Saccharomyces cerevisiae S288C: one gene and its partners. Changing the gene in region 2 together with the main gene of any one other region gives a genetic interaction. Each region holds a gene or a part of one and is shown on either strand. Other genes may lie near its edges.

Region 1 (3,938 bases), on a different chromosome or scaffold from region 2:
TAATTAACGCAAGAGAAAATTTACTCAAGTTAATATATTTGAACTCAAATATATTGAAGAGATTAGAGTCGTCCAAATAGTCAGCATTACAATGGTTCGCTTGACCCAATTTCTAAATTTGCTAAAAATATTAAAGCTCAGTACCACGCCCTGTCACAGGCGAAATATCATCAAAGTTAATCGATAAACATTCGAAAAACGCAGTTGACCGTCGTGAAATGTGGAAATCATCATAAACAATTTTTGAAATTGGAGAAAAGTTAAAAACCTTGAAACAGTTTGTACGATCTCTCATCTCTCTCAGATAAATTTTCTAGTTTAAATTGCATCAGACACTAATTGCTCTTTTCAATCATGAAGATCAGACATATGCTTGTCTATTTGAGTAATTTGTTTCATCTTCTGCAGCATTGACGTCTCTAAGGTAGAAATTTTCTTTAAAAAACATGGAAGCAATACAGACACATCAACTGATGAACTAGTTATCTGTCGATTTTTTTCTATTTCCAAATTCTTTGCTAATCGAAAAGAATAATGTAAACAGCTTCAGAAAGGCATGAATGGTAATTTTAATAGTTGTGTCTTCACGAATGATCAGACTCGTCATCTATAAATATCTCATCATAAAAACCAATTCACATAATTATACGAAAATGAGAAAAAAATCCATTCTTCCCTATAGAAAATTCTGTTAGCCCTCAGAAAAACTTACAATGGATCAGTTGCGCGGGTTTTCTAGGCCCGCTAAAGCATTGTCACTCATTTGAAAGGATATTTGTTTCCCCCTCAGTGCCCAGTGCTGTGGATCCTCATTTCCATTGTATCAAATAGATCGAAAACATCAATCTACGGAAGAATAGCACTAAAAAACTACTGTTTTCTAAGCTTAAATGTATTCTTCCAATTTATGGAAATGTGTCAACTTTCTAGTATTTATTTTAAAGGTGTTTGCTAGGTCAGGATAGTGCAAAAACGTATCAACATATACTCGTTCAGCCAGTAATTCCAGCTTTTGTTTTTGTTATAATCATCATATGAACAAACACCTTTGAATAAATATGGAATAAAAAGAAAATTGAAATGGGTGTGGTAAATGAAAGGAGAGCAGAGAAATTGAAGAAATACTACTGTATTTCTATTTAGACTTTTCCTTTCAGTTTTTTCTTCTTTATTGCTAATTAAAAACCTCAGAAATAAGAATAAACGTTCTAATCACAAAAGATTCAGAAACTCTAGTTTGTAAAAATTTATTTTGGTCATCAAGGGAATAATTAGCCTGTGATAATGACAAAAGACATATCTGAAAAACTAACTTTGATAAAGAAGAAAAAAAGAACACGGAAAAAAACGTTTTATGGATTCAATTTCTCTCTCAGCCTTTCATAGCTCCCACTCATCTGAATATTTCTTTTGTATTGATCTTTGTGATGGAAATCATAGGATTCTAATATTGTAACTTATTAAAGAGAGGAAGCATTAATTGCCAATAACCATTTCTGCGTCTCTTATTTATACCCGAAGTAATCCTAGAAGAAAAAAAAATTTTCAGAAATGAAAAAAGTTCTAGATGTATGGGTGTGCGGGTAATGCTAAGATACGTTATTGAGGGCTGTCCGCAATGGTTGGGTTTTCAGGCACGTAATTTTCAAAAGAGTTGTACACGTTGTTAGTCAAGATGGTGAAAATGGTATCGAAGGACGTATTCTATGAAAGATAGAGTTTGTAGTAAGCCAAATATTAGAATTTAGCTAGTAAATCAGACTCCTTTCGAGGCAATAAACTGTCGTTATTCTGTTCATTGCCTATATGGTCGCTATAATACCTCATGCTTCCTTTACCACAATTAAACTAACCCAGAAAACTGAGGGAAGCCAAATGCCAACTGAGGAGATCTGCAAAATCAATATGAGGACTCGTAAATTTGATGTGGGCGGGAATTCTCGAGATTTTGAGTGCTTTTATTCGAATTTTGTTCAAACTGTTATATTGTTGGGCACTTTTTTTTACTGTGTTGAAAGGCTTCAGCCGTGGTCCATTGTTACCGCTGATATATCTTATAAACAAATCTTTGTAAATGTCTTTGTGGTGTGTTTGATAATGGTTGGTCTGATATTCACAAAATATTGGCAACATGGTTACAAAAGCCTACCCAAGTTCGATACCATTTACAGTTTATATTTACCGTTTATGGTTTCGTTGTTGTTCGATACATCATCTACGGTGATAAATACTATTTTGATCCTTTCGGTATTAAATTCATATAGATGGCGAACTCAGTTGGTAGTGATCATTTTACAGCTCTGCCTCATATTTTTTAATTTTGAGGCTGGTGACAGGTTAAAGAATATTATTAGCATAGTAATAAATTCTTTACTGTCGTTAATTTTGAAGTATATTGGGCAATTGAAAAGTTTAGATAATATCGACTCTAATCTTTTTAGTATCCTATTAACCAATATTCTGTACGTTTCAGAGGCTGGCACAGTACATTTTAGAATTTTGAAGGGCATTATCCTTGCTCTCACAACAATAATTTCAATTAACTATGTGCTCAAAAAGGTAATGCACTTTAAACCGTTTATGCTGTCAATATCCTTTGCCATCGGGCTTCCACTTTTTGCCAATACCTTCATTCATTTAGAAGACGGTGAAAATCCGCTACTTTGGCTGGTAAAATATATCTTAGAGTCTACTATTCGTCAAAAGATTTTGTTTGCTTGGTCTTCAATTCTTATACTGTCCATACCAAGTATATTGATCGAGAAGGACAGTCTATCGTTGAACACCTCCCGAAAATTGTGGCATTTCATCATTTTCTTACTCATAATACCGTCATTCCAAATGGATTCAAACTTTGTGAAAATTGCATTGTCCGGAACAATACCAGTCTTCTTATCAATTGAGTACATAAGATTTCAAAACCTACCGCCGTTAGGATCTGCTATTGAATTACAACTAAGAAGGTTTGCTGATGATAGGGACCACAGCGGGCCATTGATCATATCATACCTTTATTTACTCTTCGGAATATCAACACCTTTATTAATGAATAACTCTCCAATGGGTCTAATAGGATTGGGAATTGGTGATTCCTTAGCATCTATTATTGGTAAAAGGTATGGCCGCATTCGTTGGAAAGGTACACAAAAAACTTTAGAGGGAACTCTTGCGTTTATAGTAACGAGTTTTATCGTTTGTTTGGTATTGTTACGTTTTGATAAAGCTGCAATTTTTAACCACCTAACTACTTTACAATTGCTTACCCTTTGTACACTGAGTGGAGTGCTAGAAGGTAATAGTGTGCTTAATGACAATATTTTGATACCTGCATTTATGATGATTTGTGAAAAATTAATTACTCTTTGACAAAGTCAATTATTTTCAACTTTTAAAATTACATAACTAATTGTTTGCATTTATGAATAGAATAAAGAAAAGAATAGAGCAGTAAAGAAAAAAAAATAATTGTAAGTATTTTTTTTTCGTTTTATATCTAGTACTTACACGTAGTATATACAAGTATGGGCTATAGATATAAAGAAAAATAATAAATAAACGAGATTGTTAAGTTAGCTCTCTATTTCTTACCATGCTTCTTTTTATTGTTGGTTTTGTTTTTGCTCTTAGAGTTGGAAGAATCGCCTTCTATAAATGTTAACAACTCATCCACACTTTTGTTAGCCAATTCAGGTTTAACGTCATCCTTCTTTTGACGGTGATTGGTTTTTTTATGGCCAGCTGAATTTGATCCCGTTGTCGACATTTGATCTTGTGCAAGTTGCTTCTTTTGTTTTAAATCCATTATTAATGAGCTTAAACCATTAACCCACTGTCTTGATTGGGCTGAGTGCGTGTGATTCATACCCAATTGCTTGGTGAAAATCCCTTGGGTTACAGTGATGTGCTCTAATGCACGGTGGAAATCCTTCAATGCTGCA
Region 2 (2,927 bases):
TGTGTATGCAGCCTTTTATGCCCTCGGTATCGGCACTGTTCCATGGCAACAATCGGAATTATTTCCACAAAACGTCAGAGGTGTAGGGACATCCTACGCTACTGCCACCAATTGGGCAGGTTCTTTAGTCATTGCGTCTACGTTCTTGACTATGTTACAAAATATTACACCAACGGGTACATTTTCATTCTTTGCCGGTGTAGCATGTTTATCAACCATTTTTTGTTACTTTTGTTATCCAGAACTATCAGGATTGGAGTTAGAGGAAGTTCAAACAATTTTAAAGGACGGATTCAATATCAAAGCCTCTAAAGCTCTAGCTAAAAAGAGGAAACAACAGGTGGCCGAAGGTGCTGCCCATCATAAACTCAAATTCGAACCTACACAGGAAATTGTAGAAAGTTAGACTGCTACACCAACAAAAAATAAAAGATAAAGAACAAAAAAGAAGGAAGAAAGCTATAAAAGGGAGACAATTCATTTCATCTAATCTTAAAAGTTTTTATTTAAATATATAAGTAAGAGCGAAGTATTTAAAAATAAAAATTCATAAAAGTTGAGCTTGATGAAAGTTATATCTTTTCGAGCGGTATGTTTCTTTCGTGTAAAATTCTTCTTAAAGTATCTAACTTCTCCTCATCTTTCAAGTTTCCTTTAACTACAACTTTTTGGATCAATTCAACGGGAATACTGCTGCTTAAGTAAACATTATTGAGCGACCTGAACATTTTCAAAGTTTGAAAGAATAATGGAGAATGGCAGTCGATGAAAATATAGACGTTACTTGAAGAACGCATTCCACTAATAACTCCCTTCGCGTGCAACATCCCCGGCGATAAATGGACATGATTTCTACTCATTGGTGATATTGCTCCGGATTCAATAATCTTTATGACAGATTGAAGATTTGTTCCATGAATTAGTTCCTGTGGTAACTGCGACGCTTCAGTAATTGGTACGAGAACCTCATCTGATGGCTGAATCGATTTGATTGAATGTCCCTGAGTAGCACAGATCCATTCTTCGTCCGCTCCTAACGTTTTTATATGAAAGCGTTGTTTGTCATTTTCCTTAACAATGCGATGGATATCATCCACCGTACATTTATGAGTTTTCAATCTATTATGAGACAATAGTTCTTTCAGCGGTGTATAACCGTTTGAGTCAATAGTCAACTTTTCTTTCACCGCTGTATGTCGAAGCAGATATGATAAAGCTTTGGAAAGCTGTACATCCCTTTTATCTTTTTGTAGTACCTGGCGCATTGTCAAGTCCACCTTTCCCAGTCATTCTGCTCAATTCTGTAATAATGTATTATGCATTTTGCCATTATTTTGATGAGCTTTCCTCGCGTCACGGTGTCAGTAAAAAAGAACAAATACATCACGAAGACAGAAATACGGACAAGAACCGCAGAAGACATTAAAGTCAAAACATGAAGCTTAATTCAACTCGTGTAAGTATCTTTAAAGGAGATACACTTCCCATTCTTGAATTATTTTTTTATTTAATTTGCCTTATTTATTCAATTATTTATTATGTGAGCACCAGCTGAGTCTAAGACTTGAAATTAATTAATTCGGGCTGATTCAAACTTGAATGCATCAAAATATAAGATTGAATCAAAATGAAAAAATGGTAAAAAGCCGTACCAGAAATCAAGAGATGGAAAAGGTACTCGGAATGATTCCAACCTTCTTCCTTTTTATTTCGTCTGAACAATGATTCAGGGAACCTGGTAACGTAAATTATAGATGCCGCTACCAAAGCCACAAGTTCCCACGTAATTGCGTTCACTTTTATCCTCTCTTTCAGGTTTTCTAAACCATCAAAGGTGATTATTGCGGTTAATAGTGGCAAGGAACAACACACTACTGATACCGAAATGAAGAAAACTGTTTTATTGAATCTTTTCGAGGAAATGAGTTTGTCCGTCAATATAAAAAAGTATGCCACTAATCCTATGAAGTTCATTAAAAGGGTAAAAATTTTGAAGAAAAACACGTAATCATAGAATAGATAATAAAGAATTGTGATTTGTGATGATATCAATAAGTTGATATTCGATAAATACGAAAACTTCTGCCAATGTTCGAGATGTTGTTGTAGAGAAATATTTTTGACGAAGTGATAAATGAAATGCACCATACAAAATACAAAAACGTTCAATAAATAAAAATTGAATACAATGTAGTCTGTCATTGTAGTGGTGGTGGGGAACAAAGGTATCAAATAAAAGTCCGTGAAAAATATTAGGAGACAAAATGACAGCATCGAACCCAAGAGATATATTAGTGCTACTAGTGACTCGTTCCTACTGGATTTATTTTTGTACTGTTTCTGCAATTTTGCCAAGTCATGGAATGGAAAACCCTTCTTTGTTTCTTTTGTCTCTGCATTCTCGTTCGAATCTGTCCCCCTAGTATCATTGCTCTCTTTCTCAGTGGTTGTCTCGCATTTGACTGGGCTTTGCTCTATTGTAGTCAATGAAACCATACTGTCAATATATATGTACCTTTATACCAATATTATATGCGCTGACAAGAACTTTAAGAAATTAATTTCCTTTTCTACTTTTTTTCATTTTTATTTTACTTCTGCGTCCATATATCCGGACCATATATATGAGTGTAAATCATTTAGCTGTTGACACCATTGAGTATTTACAATTAAAACCAATTGAGCTCAACAGGCTTGCGTTGAATAATGTTGAGCTGCCCAACGAGCCCTTTTCTCGCGGAGTGCTGTCCGAATTGTCCGAGTTTTTATACGGACAGAACTATCGCTTCTTTGAAGTATATATAAGAATAGACCGGCTGTTCACCCCGTATCCTCCTTTTCTATCTCTTGGCTTGCTATGTTTCAATGTCAGCCTTTGCTTTTATGTGCCCTTGCATACACGTGAATATGTCTATTTTATGTAAACT
Region 3 (3,452 bases), on a different chromosome or scaffold from region 2:
GGAACTCATCACTTCGTAACTGATTCCATCTTCTATCTACCATAACTTTAAAAAAGATTATCGATAGTCTAAAAATACGCGATACACATTCTTTCTTCGTCCGTTAATGATAAAGCTCTTTTTATGTTAATGTACATGGGTTGTCAAACTACCCTTCCCAAAAAGACAGCACAAAATATATATTTATGCCGTGCTATTCTATGATAATATATTGGCTTTCACCTAATGGAAGCCCTAGCGAAGATAACCTTTTTCATACGACTTTTGGTGGGAAAGAAATTGGCATAGTCCCAAGTACAATGTTGTTATTATGTAGGAGCTTAATCCGCAGATCATACACTCTATCTCAATTCTTCGTATTATAACGCTCATGATTAATTAGGTCCTTCTGAGTTCTATCTTTTCTCTCCGAGACAATATTATGCAAATTTTAACCAAGCAGTTTCTCTTAAAAAATAGATAGCCTCTGGAATAACCAATATGGCTCTCATATTCGCTTTATCCACTCTTACGATGAACATCTGTATGGTTCTTTTTATTCTAGTTTATGTACGTTTATAGACGGGAAGTAGTTAAATTTGTGTTACCTTCAATTTGAAATTTGGGATACCGTTATCGTATTCAATTCTCAGCATCGCCCAGTTCAAGTCAACTAATATAGATGCTATAGCCAGAGCATAAACTAGGGAAATAGCATAGAAAAAATTACTATTCCCTGAACCTAAAACAACCCAAAGATGATAGAAAATTGGCGCCAAAACAATTGCGTGTAAAAACAGTAATGCTGATATGATGGGGTATCTTAAATATCCAAATAGTGGCGTGAAGAAAGGTAGGAAGCTGAAGAAAAAACCAGCGTCACCTAGTGAGGGATATGGCTTTGTAAGGACAATCCACCCAATGCATAAAATGAATGCGTAGAATGGCTGCTTATGATAGCGCAAAGTAAATGGTGTAATGAATACTGCAATAAAAATGTTGAATACAGCCTTGAAGAACGGTATGAAGGTGTCAAACATTTCAATGAAGAAGTACCACCACAAACCCAGATTTGGAAAAACCTTCTCAAAGGTTATAATAGATCCATAAACCTGTGTCAAAAATGACCAACTTTGGCTGCCTAATATACTGTAGCTGAATAATAGCAGAATTAATAAAGATAGTATGGAAACAATGGCAGATAATATTCTTTGCCTCCAACTTTTCAGCATACCTAATAGCGGAATTAAGAGGAGAATAGGGTATACTGACAAATATCCAGATATAGAAATCATAACAGAGGACAAAAGAACGTTTCCTTCAGCTAATATGCAATACAATGACGATGAAATAGCAAAATTTGTGAATATGATTGATGACCGACTAATGCACGATAAAAGGGTCAAAGGATTCACGGCATAAAGAAGTCCAGGTAGCCAAACTTTCAGTTTCAAGTTTTTGAAAGCCTTTGTTACCTCTGTCAGCTGATACGCAATTAATCCATCAATTAAAGCGTATATGAGGGAAATTAACCTGTCGGAATTAAAGAGGGAAAGAAAAAAAATCAAAATTGGAGGATGGTGAACAACCCCATGATTATATACTTGGATGTTGTTCCGCAGTAGGTATATACCTTCCTGTAGTGACCTAAATGAAGTTACGGGAGTTGAGAATTCTACAGACTGGTCCAGTTGTTGTTGTAGAGAGGGAAAAAGGCTGTTCACAGCCAAACGAATTGCAATACAGCCTAGAGCTACCTTAAGTGCTGTGGAATCCATTGGTCTCCTTTTGGTGAGTTTTTCATATAAGATCACGTTGTTTATATGAATTACTGTTCTAAAACTGGTTAGTTTTGAAAACAAAGGTCATTTCACTTAATGGAATATTTGTTTTACCCGGAATACGTAACATATCGTTTGCCAATAGACGTCTTTAAGAAGGATGTTTTAGCTTCCTTTGAGAATTATGCTACCAATAATGCAGATAGATATGTTGGAAATAACTGTTTTGACAAGAGCTTGAGATTTACTTGTTTAATGTATACTCATATAGAAACATCGAAAACAAATGAGGAAAGAAATTGAGAGCTGAGATCAATGTTAATTTTCATTCATTTGATGTTATACCTTTACACTTTAAAAATAACTCATCCGAAACAGCCAATGGTCTATCCTTGACCTTCGCCAACGCCTCTTATACTTTCATTAGAGGCCACTCTAGCACAATTCGTGACGCGTCATAGTATAGAAACGATGCGCGCATCAACAATTATGAAATTATTGCTGAACATGAACAAGTAGATACTCTGAAGAGAAAGGTACAATAATAGACATTGGTAATATGCTAAAATCCGTACAGGGACTGTGGAAAGATTTTTTTGGAATACGAGATGATGGCAGGAAACGAGAATACGGGTCCCTTGATGAAGTGAGAAAACGATCTGCCTTAAGGAGCAGAAGAAAGCAGATGCGTCCTACGGGTAAAAGCGTTCTAAAAAGACCTAGAAAGGTGACAGATAGGAAAACTGAAGAAAAAATTCGTACTAACAGGAGGAAAACACCCAAACGAAGGTTAACAAAGATATTCCAGACAATCAGAGATGTTTTTTCCAATGATAATGAAAATATGAGCAAGATGCAAAATGTTTGTGGCGACATGACTAGAATTTTGAAGAAGAGATCCCAGGGAAGACCTTCTTATATGGACACAGATACAGCCAAATCTAGGATCCTAAGGAGTGATGCCTTTAAGAGAAAGATATCGGAGTTGAAATACAATAAGCAACGGATCAGTGAACTAAGAAGTGGTAGTTCTGACGGGTCGAGTGGAAAAGATAGAAATCAATCATTATACTTAGATAGAGAAATTCTTCTACAGCGGCAAATTAAGAAAAGAGATGAGAAAATAAAAGCCTTGGAAAGCAAGCTACAATCATTACAAGAAGCATTGAATTACTCAAATGAGAAGTACAGGATTTTGGAGGATTTACTAGATTCTTCAAACATTCATCCATCATACACCAAATCTAGGAGAACCATGTCTAATCTAGCTAGAGAAAACGATGAGATTAAGCCCTTGAAAATTGATCTTTCCCCGTCTCCAATAAGAAGAACGAATTCATTATTCACTTCCAGCCCCATGAAAACATATAATCGGGATGGAAATATACCAGAGATGCAGCCGTTACAGGAAAACATATCTCCCGCCTGTCCCACTCCACCCTATCGTTCAAGGGAAACTGAAAAAGAGGATGAAACACTTTCACCAATCTCAGTGGACTTTTCAAGTTATTTATCTTAATTTCTCCTGTGAAATTAAAAGTATTCTCCATATATGGAGCGCGAAGATCACGGCCTAATCCTCATGATTCATTTTATAGATGCTTTATATAATAATTAGAGTACACATAGTTTTCATCATATTTCCGTTAAACTGGTTGTACTGTTTGGCCGTATGTAGAAGTATTATTTTCC

What was found. A genetic interaction does not mean that the proteins touch.
Region 1: mutations in TPT1 (region 2) and SEC59 together harm fitness more than expected from each alone (negative genetic interaction), as found in Saccharomyces cerevisiae (2 studies listed by BioGRID).
Region 3: mutations in TPT1 (region 2) and GAB1 together harm fitness more than expected from each alone (negative genetic interaction), as found in Saccharomyces cerevisiae (2 studies listed by BioGRID).

Annotation. Positions count from the first base shown.
Region 1 is NC_001145.3:294,607-298,544, reverse strand, and holds SEC59 (dolichol kinase), read left to right. Parts: upstream 1-1,806; coding exon 1,807-3,366; downstream 3,367-3,938. Other genes in the region: translation initiation factor 3 subunit CLU1, read right to left, coding at 3,578-3,938. UniProt on the Saccharomyces cerevisiae protein: Catalyzes CTP-mediated phosphorylation of dolichol, the terminal step in de novo dolichyl monophosphate (Dol-P) biosynthesis. Dol-P is a lipid carrier essential for the synthesis of N-linked and O-linked oligosaccharides and for GPI anchors.
Region 2 is NC_001147.6:125,425-128,351, forward strand, and holds TPT1 (tRNA 2'-phosphotransferase), read right to left. Parts: upstream 1,266-2,927; coding exon 573-1,265; downstream 1-572. Other genes in the region: myo-inositol transporter ITR2, read left to right, coding at 1-406; IZH4 (Izh4p), read right to left, coding at 1,558-2,496. UniProt on the Saccharomyces cerevisiae protein: Catalyzes the last step of tRNA splicing, the transfer of the splice junction 2'-phosphate from ligated tRNA to NAD to produce ADP-ribose 1''-2'' cyclic phosphate.
Region 3 is NC_001144.5:1,055,639-1,059,090, reverse strand, and holds GAB1 (GPI-anchor transamidase subunit GAB1), read right to left. Parts: upstream 1,758-3,452; coding exon 573-1,757; downstream 1-572. Other genes in the region: NBP1 (Nbp1p), read left to right, coding at 2,320-3,279; YLR456W (pyridoxal 5'-phosphate synthase), read right to left, coding at 3,407-3,452. UniProt on the Saccharomyces cerevisiae protein: Component of the GPI transamidase complex. May be involved in the recognition of either the GPI attachment signal or the lipid portion of GPI.